Tamandua tetradactyla: one gene and its partner. The protein of the gene in region 1 binds, or shares a complex with, the protein of each later gene. Links are inferred from orthologs where the notes say so. Each region holds a gene or a part of one and is shown in the gene's direction. Other genes may lie near its edges.

Region 1 (7,696 bases):
ATAGACCTTTATCTCTTAAAGGGGTGCAAGGGTAGTTCAGTGGTAGAATTCTCACCTACCATGAGAGAAATTCAGGTTTGATTCCCAGTCCATGCACTTCCTCCCTAGCCCCCCTAAAAATTCAACAAATGGTGCTGCAATAACAGGATAGTCTCATGGAGAAAGAATGAAATGTGACCCCCACCACACAGCATGCAAAAAAAGTTCTATTCGGTTTGCCAGTTGTATCTTGAAATACCAATCTTGAATTGATCACCTCAATCAGAAATCATTCCACCCTCCTCTGAATCCCTTTATTTGCACCATTTTAATGACCTTTTTACTCAGCCTGCATTATAGTTTTGGGTTTTTATTTTTATCACAAGTTTTCCATCATCCATACCTATTCCCAGGCCCCACCTGCATGTTCAGTTTCTTGTAATAGGCCCATAACTCATACCGCTCATCCATATATTCCTTGTAGTGCCTTGGCACTTAATACATACATGTGTGTGTTTTCAATTTGCTGAGTGCACTTGAAATAAATCAGAAATAATGAAAAATGACCAGCCTATATGATAACACTTCAAAATTATTCCTTCTATTCTCAATTTCCTGTGGTACTGATATATGAATTGAACACAATTACTCTTTGGGGAACAAGTATATTAGGCACACATCATAGATACTAAATTAAAAAGCAGATACATAAAATCTGTAAGTGATACAATAACTAGTGTAAGATGCAATCATAACCACTAACCCAAATTTTACACAAATCCCACTGATGACAAGAAATTCTTTTTTTCTGTGTTTGGGACAAAGCAGTCAGTTCTTGACTATTGTGGTATTGAATAAGAGTGATGGACTGTTAGATCACATGCTCAATCTTTGCTCTGGAAGAAGTGTATTCTTAATAGCAGCTTAAAGCTTGAAGGAAAAAGTATAGGAAAGTAAAATACCCAAGGCTCTACAAAGAGTGTAATTAAAGAGTCAGTGTATTGGTTTTTTAATGCTGCTGAAAGCAATATACCAAAAATGGGTTGGCTCTTATAAGGGAATTTATTAAGTTGTAATTTTACAGTTCTAAGGTCATAAAAATGTCCAAATTAAGGATTCCAGAGAAAAATACCTTGGCTCAAGAAAGGCTAATGGGTCCAGAACACCTCTGTTAGATGGGAAAGCATGTGGCTGGCATCTGCTGGAGTCTTTGGCTTCTGTTTTCAAATAGCTTCCCCCGGGGCATTTATTTTCTGCATCTCCAAGCATCTGGGTCTTGAGTTGGCTCTGTTCGCTCTCTCTGTCCAAAGTGTTTCCCCTTTTAAAGGACTCCAGTAAACTAACCAAGACACACCTAAATGGGCAGAGTCACAGCTCCATTTAATCAAAAGGTCACATCCACATAACATTTTTAAACTGGCAGAGGTGGCCCTCAACTAACTATAGAGCATGACGATTCACAAATCACAGATTTTATTTGTTCATGTACAATGAGATGATTCTTTATGAGATGTCTCCTTGGCAATATTCATCTGCTCTATTGATGAAACATGCTAACTGAAGTCCACATTGATTTTTCTTATTGTCTCCAGATCCTTTATTTTGGTCCTTATGTACAGAGGTAGCTCTGGAATTCCTTAATAAATGGGCTTAGAAGCAAAAGTGTGGTTGAAAGGAGGGATAACAGAATCTGCAGCTGCATTTGCATAGCAAGCATACTGTTTTTACTTCTATTGTATTCTATTTAGGGCAACTTGAAGGGTTTACACCTATTCTTCTACTTCTCCAGCCTCACTCGCCTACCCCTTCTGCTTAGCCACCTTCTGGCACCACAACTGAGCTAATGAGCAATTGCATATGTGTGACCACCCAGACTTTACACCTCTTGTTTAGCATTCAATCACTATAAAATAGCAGAGGCTCTATTAAGCTAGAATCATCACCTTGTTCAAAAACAAAAGCACTGTGAATTTCATTGTCTAACTAAATGGGTCTATTTAAGAGTTGTATGGTGAATAACTTGCACAATGGTACTTGGTGGCCCTCTGTTAAGCAGTCTCTTACTGGATTTGGAACACATAGGTGGTTCTGGTTTGTTGCCAGAATGTATTATAGATTGTTTTAGTTTGTTAATGTTGCCGGAAATGCAATATACCAGAAATGGGCTGGCTTTTATAAAGGGAATTTATTAAGTTACAATTATACAGTTCTAAGGCCATGAAAATATCCAAACTAAGGCATCCAGAGAAAGGTACCTTGACTCAAGGAAGGCTGATCTGGGAAGTCACTTGGCTTGCATCTGCTGGTCCTTTGGGTTCTCATTTCAAACAGCTTCCCTGGGCAGTGTTTTCTTTCTGCATCTCCAAATGCCTATCTTTGTCAGCTCGAAAGCTTTTCCCAAAATGTTTTCCTCTTAAAGGACTCCACTTAGAGACACATCTCCATGGACACCACCTAATCAAAAGATCCTACCCACAATTAGGTGGGTCACATATCCATGGAAACAACTAAATCAAAAGGATCTCACCAAAAAGAACATGGCTTTTGTGAGGTACACAACACTTTCAAACCAGCACATAAATCTTGGTGACACAGTGCCTAAATTCTGTGACTGGCTTTGTAGCAGGCAGGCCTTGCCCTCTTTCTGGTTTAGCTGTGCTCTCTGTGGAAAATCCCCAAACCCCTCTCCTTGCAGGCAAGTGAGATAAGGCACATTTCCTGGGATAGAAACCCCCTCCCCTAGCCTTCAGAACTGGTGAAGATGCACATAGGCAAGAGAAGACATTCCTGGGGTGGGGGCCCCTCAATGGTTCAGCTCTGGGCCATTCTCAACTTAAATCAGCCAATTGTTTACCTTGTCTTTAACATGTCAAAGAGTCTATAAAAGCTAAGGTTGCCTTTTGTTCGGGGCTCAAACTTTCAGAGGCGACTTGGCTGAGCCCTATGGCCATAGCAAATAAAACCTGCTTCCTGAAACTACGGATCCTTAGTTTCAGCCTGTTCTAACTTCGCTGAACGTTCCTGGAGGCCTGTGGCCTCGTTCCTGGTTTTTGCACTACAGCTTCCTCTAGGTATTGGTCCATCATATTCTCAGATGAATGCATGGGTTTCTTCATGTATGTAGGAATAACTTTATGTGAAGAGCAATCCTTTTACTCTTGCATAGAAGGCAATGTGTGTTGCTCTCCTTCAGAGTGTAATTTCCTTACACAAGGCACCTGATTCACTATCAACTGGTTATTCATAAGACACTACAGTAAAACTGAGTTGTAAGGTGGGGGGGTGGAGTATGGTCTAAAAGGTAAAACAATGAGCCCCAATTCATTTGATGACTTGTGTGCTAGATGCTATTTTAGGTGCTTTTTGAATGCTATTACTATAGTTGAAAATTCATATTTCAAGAGAACACAAAATACCAGCCAAAAGCAATGTCTGTCCTATACCTCATGAGTAAAGTGGATCCGGATATAGACCATCAATTCAATGCAATAATGCATAACTGAATGTGAAATTAAATAAAAGTACAGAGATGGCCATGCAATGGCCTAGACCACTAAGTCATATAGGTAGGATGAGAACTAAAGTGAGCAAGTCTTTTTGTGCTATAGGCTATTTTTACAAACAATTTCTCATCTCCATCCCACCCTTCTAACCAATGATGAGCAACCTGATGGTGCCAGCATACAAAATAACAACCTACATCCTTGTTGAAACTATATGTGACTCCTTTGTAAATATGAGTTATTTGTATTTGTTAGCCACTGTAACACATAAATATACAAATTTCTTTAGTTTAGCACAAAAAAAGCTTTGTTTTTCCTTCCAGCAGCATCCAATTGGAAGGGGGCTCTCCTCCATATAGTCATTGAGGGATCCATATTGATGGATGATTTGTTGTCTTCAAAACGTGTGTTCCAAGATTGTCCTGGACCCTGATATTAGAGGCAGAGAATGGAGAATTGGAGGTTTTTAAGGGTCAGGCCTGAAACTGGTGCACATAAACTCTACTTTAATTCTATTAGACAGTCATGTGGCCTCACTAATTGCTAGGTAGGCTGGGAAATGTAGTCTAAAAGTGTTCCCCATAACCACTTCAAATTCTTTTTATCTTCATCATAGGGGTGTAGAAACTAAAGCTCAGAAATAATAAATACTTTGTCCACAATCACAAAACCAGTAAATATAATTCAAACCCATGGATTCTGACTGTTTCTGGCCGGAATAGTATATTGTTTTTATGTCCTGAAGTCATGGTACCTAGGAAATTTTTTATGAAAAGGGGCAAGGAGGTCAGATCTTGTGTTTGTAAGTGATAGTTGTTCTCTGAATTGGGTCGACATTTGATGATTACCTCATGATTTTGTTAGAATTTAGAGACGTCACACATTGAAGTCAGACAGTATGTGGTCTAGAAACCTCTAAAATAATTTTAATTTTTCTTTCTCATCACTTTAAGTCAAATAGAAACCAAAGAAAAATAAAGACTATGATTAATATGAAAGCTATGTCTATTTAATTGTTATTTTTATTTTTTACAGGAGCACAACAGAGGATCATCTTCAAAAACCAAGATGAGGCTAAAAATTACAAGCCGGTGCATCTTCTTGTTCATCTTTCTAAATGTAAGTAAAACAAAATTATTCAGAGCTATATTAGTTTAGAATGTTGGAATAGGGAAGATTGTTTATGACTGACATGATCTTTTTTCTAGAGGCCAAAACTAAGTTCCTAGAAACCACTGTGTTCTTAATATTTTGTTAAATCAAACTGAATTTCCTCTAATTTAAACTAGTGTTACAGCTTACCCAGAATTTTGAGCTTTGCTTGCTTTATGAAAATTAACATTGATTTGAGGCAACATCTCCATATTACCCATTAATCATGGATATTAACATCATAAATTATAATGCTCTCAGATTACACATATATTAGACATGTCTGTTTGAATCACAGTTTCTGAACTGCTGTCCTACTAAAACATCTCAAACTTTTTTATTCTGATTATTAATTTCAAATGTATTCCTCATCAAAAACTAAGAATCTTCAAGTGTTTACCTACTACTGATTCTATAACTCTTTCTCTAAACTTTAAACTGTGACCAGTTTATTTAATTTTATGTTGTTTTTTCCTAAAGGAGGTAGCAAGTAGTGAGAAGTGCGATTGTCTTAGAAAACATTATCAAAGTCTGCTTATTTCAGTCAGCTCTGTTAAGCCATCATCACATCAGCTTCAATAGCACATGAAAGGGAGATGAGTAAGTTTTACATAAATCAATCTGGAGTTATCTCAAACCTTATCCTTTCTATCACGTAAGAATAAAATTTGCCATTGAATTACAGCTGACAGTAAGGACATTCAGTATTCAGTACCGTTTTATTGACCCAAGCAAAGCTTACCCAGAGTGCCAGAATTTCCATTACTTATTAATGTGCAGTTGCAGGCTTATAAATCGAGCTAAGCTGCTTTTCCTTACATTATTTAAGAAAAAGTATTACTAATATTCATGAGTGTATTTTTTCAAGGCAATTTTTATTTTGTAGTGTTACACATCCAGCAAATGCTTTATAGGAATGATTGTTAATTCAACCATTTTGTAGCTGTTTGGATAATGAGTCTAGTTCATTTTATGATGTCTGACTGTCATATTATTTTAACCTATTAAATATTTCTTTAGATGAATTACAGTATAAGTTGCTAAAATTAGTCCAGTATTTGGAAATGCAGGTAACTTCATGTCACTGGAAATGTAATAAAAACATTTGAACAAGAATATATAAGCTAACAGAATATGTAATTTGTCTGTAAATGCCCAAGGTCTTATGTGGCATTCTATAGAGGTAGATATATTGGTATATTTTATTCATAAAGTGATGTTGTTTTTTTTTTTGTAGCTCAAACAAAATCCTTTCATGTGATTAATTATATGCAAATATTTCTATATACATCTGTTTTATAAAGCATATGCTTTTATTTGACATTGATAGAAGAAAAACTAAAATAACTAGGAAATACTAACAAAATAGTTCAAAAATTATATAATCACCTTCTTTGTTACAAAGACTACAGATAATTTTCGGTGTGTTATTAAGTAGTTGATTTTTATTCAAAGCTTTTATTTGATTTATTTTATAATTCAAAGATTGAAAAACATTTCATGCATTTGCATGACCCATGGAAAGAAATATTTTATGGCTTGTGGGCACCTCCTTTATTAACAAACAAAACTGAACAGGGTATTTATGTTGCTCTGTGCTCTCTTTGCTGTGACAGACAGCAATTTGCTTCTCTGTCTGTATTTGGATTATATATTTGATTTGGAAGATTTGTCCATCAAACAAAATCCACTGCAATGTTTATATGATGTTTAAGTGGAAGAAGGTACACAGGACTCCAACCAGGCAACTCATCATATGTGGAAGAACCAGGGTTGATTCTTTACAAATTTTATTTTGTGCTTCATTATTTTGAAAAATATCACTAACTGAAAATCATAAATAGTTCTGACATGGACATTTTCAGTATTTGGGATAGTGTCATAGAAATCTTGTTGGTTATATCAATTTGCAGATTCTGGATCCACATTTTCGGCAAAGCAGGTCTGCCGGTAGCAATCAGTAGAGCTTTTTTCTTTCAGCACAGCAGCATGGGTCCACACGTTCAAAGGGCTTGAACAATTCCAGAGACGTGCCATTTCTCAAAGTTCCAAACAGAACAACCTGCAACTATTCTGTTTTTTATGCTGCTTCTTCTAGAAACTATATGTAACTGAAAGCCAGGCTAACTGGCTTACACTGAAATAGGAATTCCTGAACCTATGGCCTTTCAACTTCTATTGTTTTCCCTGGCCTCCATGATCAGTGTGGATTAAACCCTCTAGAATGTAAGCTCCATCTGGGCAGGGACTTTGCCGAATCTCCAGAACCTACAACAGTGCCTGGCACATAGGAGGTACTCAAGGTACCTATTGGCCGAAAGGACCAGCGATGTTTCGGATGCTGACTACAGATGTTTGTGGCAGTTTGGCAGTCGTATGTGTGGTGCCATTTACTTGAACCTCTAGGAGTGACATCACATATACGGTGGCTAAACTGCTACATGAGCCAACAAGGAAAGAATTTTCTTTTGAAGAAATGTCTTGTATGTGAAATTTTGAGCACTGATCTTTACTCAGAAAGCAATGTTTCATTTCTATGTTCATGTCAACATAGTATCATTACATCTCCAAACTATATTGTATAAAACTAACACTATAAGTAGAATATTTTTAAGTCTTTCCCATTGGTTGGTAGTTTATTATGTTTCCTCTTTATTGTTGAAAACACACCTCACTAGCAATTTGTAACTGTATATAATCATCAGTCAAAAGTTTAATGCATTTAATGAACTTTATGAAATGTGTATATGCATTGAAATAATAGTAATTCCAATGTGTGTGTTATGTCATTTTAGGGAAAAAATCCTTGAAATATTTATCTACTGTTTGGAAAATTCCATCTTCAGTGCTCAAACATTAACCAGACTAGGAGCAGGCTCAGGTTATTATGATTTATCGAACAAAAGAGGCTCCAATTTCTCATTCCTTCAGTGTGGAAACAATCTCTGGTGAGCTGAGTCCCAATCCTTGTTCACTAGAGTTTGTTTCAGCACTGGAAGAATGATAAGATTGATGTTACCATCTTCTACATGAACTATACCTACCCTGATTTTGTATGTTTG
Region 2 (7,997 bases), on another chromosome or scaffold:
GTTTTATGTGAGATAATCTGTGTGAAGCACTGAACATACTGCCTGGCATCCTCAGGGCTTGGTTAATGAGCATTATTATGCCATGTTATACAACATCCTAAGATGGTGGGAGAGGGTAAGAGGGCTCCTGGGGATGGTTTCATAGGATAACCACAGGGAACACAGCCCTTCCTGAGGATTGGGGGGAGGGTGAAAACAATTCTGGCATTGGGCATTGGGCTCTTACAGCAACCATGATTCAGCCCCAGGTGCCGAGGGACCAGCCATGTTCTCGGCACTGCTGGGTGTGTTCTGTGGTCACTTGGCCACGGTCCTCTTCAGTCATGCTGTCTGAACGTCCTTCTTATGAATTCATTCAGAGTTCTTTTCAGAAAAACAGCCCCTACCATATGATGTCATGGTCCAGCCTGAGTCAGGGAAGGAGGGGGAAGGAGAATAAGTGTACTTGGTTGGGTGAAGCAGGATCTTCTCACTCTTTATCCTCCCCTCCTTTCAACATCCAGTAAGAATCAATCATCTGAGCAGGAGTGGGGGGGGAGGGAGATGATATATCATAATAGTTAAGGCCTGAACCTTAATGTTCCAGTCCGAAAGGATTTGTGTACCCTAGAAAAACCTTGTTTTAATCCTAATCAATCTTGTGAGAGCAACGATTTCTTCTAATCCCTATTTAGTACTACAGGTTGTAAACTTGGTTAGGTTATCTTCACAGAGGTGTGACTCCATTGTGGGTATTAAACTTGAGTAGATGGAGATGTGTCTTCACCCATTCTAGTGGGTCTAGATTAGTTTGTGGGAGTCCTATAAAAGAGGAGACAGTTTGGAAAGAGTTCATTTTGAGAATGAGGAGAGAGCTGCAGAACGATAACAGAAGGACGAGAGACCACAGAGTCCACCAGCCAGTGACCTTTACAGATGAAAAAGGAAAACACCTCCCAGGGAGCTTCATAAAGTAAGCGGCCTGGAGAGAAAGCTAGCAGATACACCATCGTGTTTGCCATGTGCCCTTCCAACCGAGAAAGAAATGCTGAACATCATCAGTCTTCTTGAACCAAGGTATCTTTGCCTGGATGCCTTAGGTTGGACATTTCTATAGACTTGTTTTGATTCGGACAATTTCACAGTCTTAGAACTGTAAACTAGCAACTTATTAAATCCCCCTTTTAAAAGCCATTCCGTTTCTGGTATATTGCATTCTGGCAGCTAGCAAACTAGAACACTTAGTATTGAGCAGTCCTGGATTCAAATCCTGACTCTGACAATGATAAGCTCTGGGACCTTGGGCAAAGCATTTAAACTCTCTGATCCTGTTTCCCCATTTTACTCATGAACAGGATAGTTCTGATCCTATGGGGTAGGGCTTTAAGAAATGCATACAAAGCACCTGGCACATGTGTCAGAGAACACACTATGAAGACATAGTTAGGTGAGCATTCAATAAATGGCAGTTACTATTCAGTCCCCAGCGGTTGACGAGGAATACATTTTCTCTGCTTCTTTCTAACTCAGGGACAAATTTTTGTTTAATAACAATTCTCTTTAGGAGGTAATCAAGTTCATCTCATTCTGTAGCTGAGGAACCTGGGGAGAGATTGAGTAGTTGTGTCTCTACCCCTTTGCTTTCCCTCCTTTAGCCAGCTGCCTCCCTGGCTTGCAGCTTCTCAGGTCCTCCCTGCTTCCTTTGATCCCTCTGAAGAATCAGACTCTTCTCAGGAGGGACTTCTAGCTTCTCTGACCCTCTCCCTCACATCTTCTCTGGCGCTCTACTCTTCATTTTGCAGACAGTTTGGACAGAGGCCAGCATGTGTGAATGTCTCTACATGGTAAAGATGCTACTTTCAGGGTGCATATAATTTGCATGGTGTAGGGGGCCCCCAGTGCCTTTTACTCTCTTCTATGTTGTTCTGGATTTAGTGGTTGCATCACCTCTCCCCTGCTCCAGGCAGGAAAGCCCTTGGCAGATAATAAGAAGGGAATTTTTTTACATGTCAGTAAATTCCAGAAGGAATCAATCTAGGTTGGGTCCGGAAATCGCTAGACAATGACCAGCTGGACCGGAATCTGATCCTTTTCTTCCCAGGCACTGGCGGGGAGGAGGGGGGCAGATAGAAGAAAAAATATCTGCCCACTGGATATTAGAAAAAAGAGACTAAAAACAATATTATGCTATGTTAAAAGGAAAGAGGCACATTTATGTATAGTAACATGGAAAGATATGCAAGACCTATTAAGTTTAAAAGTCATTGACAAATAGGTACATTAAATCCCATTTATGTTGTTTTTAATCTAAAATATGTGGGGAGGTAAGTGAGACAGGGTGGAGTTATAGTTTTCTATGTTATGTAAATATTTTACAATTAGTACATACTTATATTTTACCTGTAATGAAAAAAAATTTTTTTATAGCGAAAGCAGAAGTGGGCTAAAAGAGAAGTTAAAGGCCCCCAAGGATGGCTGGAAAGAGGGGGCTTTCCATGATAAAAACAGCCTCAGACCCTGAAAAATCCCTTCCCTGTCTCATATCTGTAGATCATGTGACTATCTCCTATGGCAACTTGGAACAGGAAGGTAAAGTCTCCAGTCTCCTGTTAAGCACTAAGGGGCCCCTATAGCAGACCCTCAGTTACCAAGATGTCCAGCAGTCAATGAAAATATCCACCAGATATTAAATAGGGAAAGGGGGAAAATCAGTAGATTCTCCAATGGGAGGATCTGGACTTCTAAGTTCAGGAATGGTTACATAAGCTCTTCTTTGTAGGTCATTACATTACCATACAAACTTAAACCCAACCCTAAGTTAAACATAACACTTCCTACTGAGTCATCTACATTTCCCTTTTTATTCTACGGCAATTTTATATGTGAAAATGTTGAGGTCCAGAGATATAAAGTGACCTGTCCAAGGTTACACAGTAAGACAGGGGCAGAACCTGGCCTCAGAATCCTAACCATTTTAGGATATTTTAGCCCATTATACCATATTGCCCTATTTCAAACCCAGCATTTGCTTTTGACAACTTCAGTCTTGTCCCGTCCTTAGTCCTAACCCATAGTGGGCTCAGGGGCTTCTGGACCCAGCCCAGTGAAAAAGTCTGGATTTGCTTTCTGTCCCTTGTTGTGCCCTCCTCCCATCTTATAACCCAGGAATCTCCCTCTCAACCATAGCTTCTTCTTGAAAAGGGTACTCGCGGATATTCTGAGAGAAAAGATAGCATTTGGTGTCCAGTCGAAAGTGGCTCTGAAAGAAAGGTGACTCTTCTGCATCACTGCAGGAGATGACCCTTAAAGGTTAACACCAAGCAGGCCACTTCCCCTCTCCCTCTGGAAGCTTTGCTAAATTCACCTCCTGACCCCAGCCGTGGAGGAGGACAACAGGTTGTCAATAGCCACGATTTGAGAGCCTGAGACCCTGAAATAAAGATTTTAAGAGCAAGAGACCATGAAAATTTGCACACCAATGTTTATAGCAGCATTATTTACAATTGCAAAGAGATGGAAACAGCCAAAATCTCCATCAACAGAAGAGTGGCTAAACAAACTGTGGTATATACATACGATGGAATATTATGCAGCTTTAAGACAAGATAAACTTATGAACCATGTAATAACATGGATGGACCTAGAGAATATTATGCTGAGTGAATCCAGCCAAAAACTAAAGGACAAATACTGTATGGTCCCACTGATGTGAACAGACATTCGAGAATAAACTTGAAATATGTCATTGGTAACAGAGTTCAGCAGGAGTTAGAAACAGGGTAAGACAATGGGTAATTGAAGCTGAAGGGATACAGACTGTGCAACAGGACTAGATACAAAAACTCAAAAATGGACAGCACAATAATACCTAATTGTAAAGTAATCATGTTAAAACACTGAATGAAGCTGCATCTGAGCTATAGGTTTTTGTTTTGTTTTGTTTTGTTTTGATTTTACTATTATTACTTTTATTTTTTTCTCTATATTAACATTCTATATCTTTTTCGGTTATGTTGCTAGTTCTTCTAAACCAATGCAAATGTACTAAGAAATGATGATCATGCATCTATGTGATGATGTTAAGAATTAATGATTGCATGTGTAGAATGGTATGATCTCTAAATGTTGGGTTAATTTCTTTTTTTCCGTTAATTAAAAAAAAAAAAAGAGAGAAGGGATAATTGGAGATGAAGGGATACAGACTGTACAACGGGACTGGATATAAAAACTCAGAAATGGACAGCACAATACTACCCAATTGTAATGCAATTATGTTAAAACACTGAATGAAGCTGCATGTGAGGTATAGGTTTTTTGTTTTTGTTTTTTTTGTTTTTTTTTCTTTCTATTATTGTTTTAATTCTTATTCTCTTGTCTTTTTATTTCTCTTTCTAAATCGATGCAAATGTACTAAGAAATGATGAATATGCAACTATGTGATGTTATTAAGAATTACTGATTGTACATGTAGATTGGAATGATTTCTAATTGTTTTGTTAATTCTTTTTTTAATTAATAAAAAAAAAAAAAAAAAAAGAGAGACCATGAAAAATAATTTGTGGTGGGCAAGAATCACTCAACTGGGAAAACAGCAGCTGCTGAGTCCAAGGGTCAGTGTCTGGGAATAATTTAGCAAAGTTCAGTGCTGACAGCTGTGTCTGAGTTGAACGTCATGGCCGTCCCAGCTCCTGGGCTCCTTGGCTGCTTTAGGCTAATGAAGCTCTGGCCCAGGACCCAGAGGCAGCTGTGGTTTAGCTGGGCCCTATGGCCCCAGGATCAACCTTTTTACCTCCTAGCAGCGTGACCTTGGGCAAGTCACTTAGGAAAGGATAAAAGGAAATTAGCATCCGCTGAGTACAATGTCCTTTTGCATATTTCATATTCACTAGTTTGGTGAGGAGGGTAATGCTGTCCCTGTTTTACATGGGAGGGATCTGAGTGTGTGAAGGTCAACAAGTCAAGGCTATACAGCTGGGGACCGCGATGGTAGGGATTAGAATCTAGACCTTCTGACAAGTCCTGTGCCCTTGCTCTGGGCTTCAGCCTCTTTCTCTGTAAAATGGGGATTATGATATATCCATCTCAAAAATGAAGTTGCAAGTTGTAGGTTCTAACAGCCACCCCACTTCTTTCTCATGGCCTTGACCTTTAGGGTGGTAGCTACCTTCTTCCTGGGAATGCAGTCATCTTACTTTTGCCCCTCCCTCCCCAACAGTTTGTGGATCTAGGGCTCAGGCGGTGCCTTGAAGGGAAGGCATTTGGACTTTGGTTTCCCCTCTTTCTTCTACCTCTTCTCCAGACTCTGAGGGCTAGCTCACTCTTTTCCGCCCTAGCTTTGGCAGGCAGGGCCAACAGCAGTGGGTGTTCCCAGGGAAAAGGAACTCTGAGCTGCAGGGCCCAGCTCCAGGCGCCCCTTCTCCCACGGCCCAAGACAGCCTCAACTCCCTGCCTTGGATCCTGCGGGGTCCAGCCTTCCAGCCCCCCTTTCCCGCTTCTTTAGGTCCCGGAGAGCAGCTTTCCCACTCCCACCTCAGCTACAGTGCCCCCCAGAAAAGGGGGCGACTGGAATCAGGGACGCAGATGCAGTGAGACCACGGAGAGTACTGGGCGCCATTCGGCCGAGCCCAGGAAACAGATCCCGGTTCTGGGGTTTCGAGGGGAGCTGTCCAGCCCCGCAGGGTGAGCTGGAAGAAAGGCAGGCCCGCGCCGCCAAGGCGGAGGGAGCAGCAGGCGTCAGCGGCCGGCGGCAGCCGCGACTCCCCCTCAAGCTCGCCCCCCGCCCCCTACGTGGCTGCAGCCGTCCCAGCCCCTCCGAGGAAACGGAGCGGCTTCCTGCACTTCGGCAGGGGATATAGGCGGCCCCACCCGGGCCGGCTCAGTGCCGCCGCCACTCGCCACTTCGCCTCCCAGCAGCGCGATGACCTCGCTCCGGGCGGAGCGCACCGGCGTCCCGCGCTGCGCTGCGATCCGCGCCGGGCTGCCGAGAACGCTCCGCCTCCTACTCCTGCTGAGCGGTGAGCGCAGCGCCCCGGGGCCAGGGCGGGAGATGCGGGGGGCCCGGGAACCGTGCGGGGATGGACGGCCGAGGCTGCGGTGCAGATGCTGAGACACGTACGGACGAGCGCTGTCCTTCGGGATTCCCTGGCCCCAACTTGGTGCGGCGCCGCGCGAGCTGCTTCCAACTTGGGGAAAGCTCAAGTGCCCAGGGCCCAGCTGGGACGTCTTGGGAGGTCTGGGACTGACGAGGGCGGAGAGGGCTCTGGCGACTTGGATGTGAGTGGTACCAGCCCCTCCCTTCCTGGGCATTGAGGATTATGGTTTTTTTTTGGGGGGGGGGGGCTGTATTATTTCTTTTCTCTTCCAAGGGTAGTCCTGACCTCTAAGGGGCTCGGACCCAAATTCTTCAGGCTCCGCTGTCCAGGTCCCCGCCATCCCACCTCCCTTTCCTATATCTGCCTACAGTTGTTGTGAAGCCCCAGGAGTCCCTGGCTCAGCCTCTTCCCACCTCAGGCATCTTGAATTCAGAGGGTGAGTACCAGCTACTACGGGAGGATGCAGGGCAAGGAGGGGAGCCAGATCAACAGGAAGGCTCTCTTTCCCTCCTGGCAGGCCTCAACCTCAAGTGGTACCCCACTAAACCCTCCTCTTTTCTCTCTTGTGATTCCTTGAGGTGTTTTCCCCTCTTATTCCACAATGCCCCTGCCCGGCTCTGAGGTGGCCCACCTTACAGGTGGGTGAGAAGACCCCATGAAAATAGGTGTGCTTCAGCTCTTGTTAGATTGGGAAATATGGTACACATGGAAGGCATTAAATTCCTGGGCCTGGACTGTCTCCTTAGCTAAAAGTGTCATGCTTGGGAAACTTCTCAGGCATTCCTGCGGGTCCCTGTGTTTGAAGAGAGGAACAGGATTCTGAAGAGAGGAACAGGATTCTTTGCTGGAAGTATCTGGGACAGACGGTTTGGGAGGAGGGGCAGGGATGGGATCAATGTGGAGTATCTTCCCTCCACAGGGAAGACAGTGGAGGAGGAATATGAGACAAATGTCCGACAGTGCTGGCAGCATTATAAGGCTTATATGGACTCTATTCAAAAGGATTGGTGTGACTGGGCCATGATTAGCAGGTAGGGGCAGTGCTGGCCGGTGGCTTGGGCCTGGGTGGGGCTGCTCCTTACAGCTGTACCTTGAATGAGTGTGGGGCAGTCCTCTCTCTGGGCCCAACCCCTCACTCAAATCCTCTCCCATCCCCAGGCCTTACAGCAGTCTGCGAGATTGCTTGGAGCTGAATGCTGAAGAGTTTGGCCTGGGCTTCCCCAATCCCTGGGCCGAGAGGATCATCTTTGACACTCACCAGATTCACTTTGCCAACTGCTCCCTGGTGCAGTCCACCTTCTCTGACCCCCCAGAGGATGTGCTCCTGGCCATGATAATAGCCCCCATCTGCCTCATCCCCTTCCTGGTCACCCTTGTGGTATGGCGGAGTAAAGACAGTGAGGCCCAGGCCTAGGGGGCACAAGCTTCTCAGGGGCCATCTTCCCCCTCCCCCCTACTCCCACAAAAATCTCTCTCCTCCCTTCTCTACCCTCTTCTCTCACTCCTACCCCTACTGCAGGTCCTTGGATTGGTGGAAACCAAGCTGGTGGGGTTACACAGCTTTGTAATCTTTAAAATAAACTTTTTTTTTTTTTTACAGTGTTGCTTTCTCCATCCCAATGAGGCCTGTGTCCTTCCCAGACTCTCTGCCACTCCCACAGGCCCTCAGCTCTGGGCAGCAGACTCTGGATGGCCACTTCCCCTCACTGTCCCTCCCCCACCTGAAAACCACACCCCTGCACTTCTTCCTCCCAGGCCAGGCCTTTCCTGCCCCTTTCCAAACTCTGCTCCAGGAAACATGCAGGAAGAGACTCCCTTCCGGTCTGGACAACAGATGGGGGCCAGCAGTTGGGGTGATGTGGGGGGACGGGGGAGGGAGGAATCTCTCCTGTGATTCCTGCAAGAAGAAAGTGGGGCTACCCGGGA

Evidence for each region.
Region 2: the proteins of CALCR (region 1) and RAMP2 are in contact, whole or in part, in a cryo-EM structure (PDB 7TYX), measured with the Homo sapiens proteins. The link is inferred for Tamandua tetradactyla from reciprocal best matches to the Homo sapiens genes CALCR and RAMP2. Residues at the interface, in NP_001158210.1 of Homo sapiens: Arg45, Lys46, Met48, Met49, Asp50, Gln52, Tyr53, Lys54, Tyr56, Asp57, Met59, Gln60, Trp76, Gly78, Arg126, Phe235, Leu238, Ile242, Thr246, Val250, Glu255, Lys256, Gln257, Arg258, Trp261, Tyr262, Leu264, Leu265, Phe269, Pro273; in NP_005845.2 of Homo sapiens: Trp86, Tyr93, Ser94, Arg97, Asp98, Glu101, Leu109, Pro112, Glu117, Ile120, Phe121, His124, Phe128, Cys131, Pro136, Phe138, Ser139, Asp140, Pro141, Leu146, Met149, Ile150, Pro153, Ile154, Leu156, Ile157, Leu160, Ile161, Leu163, Val164.

Annotation. Positions count from the first base shown.
Region 1 is NC_135327.1:122,630,284-122,637,979, forward strand, and holds the start of CALCR (calcitonin receptor), read left to right. Parts: upstream 1-4,550; coding exon 4,551-4,601; intron 4,602-7,696. UniProt on the Homo sapiens protein: G protein-coupled receptor activated by ligand peptides amylin (IAPP), calcitonin (CT/CALCA) and calcitonin gene-related peptide type 1 (CGRP1/CALCA).
Region 2 is NC_135332.1:24,492,247-24,500,243, reverse strand, and holds RAMP2 (receptor activity-modifying protein 2), read left to right. Parts: upstream 1-4,919; 5' UTR 4,920-5,896; coding exon 5,897-5,993; intron 5,994-6,441; coding exon 6,442-6,507; intron 6,508-6,990; coding exon 6,991-7,102; intron 7,103-7,229; coding exon 7,230-7,485; 3' UTR 7,486-7,666; downstream 7,667-7,997. UniProt on the Homo sapiens protein: Accessory protein that interacts with and modulates the function of G-protein coupled receptors including calcitonin gene-related peptide type 1 receptor (CALCRL) and calcitonin receptor (CALCR). Required for the transport of CALCRL to the plasma membrane.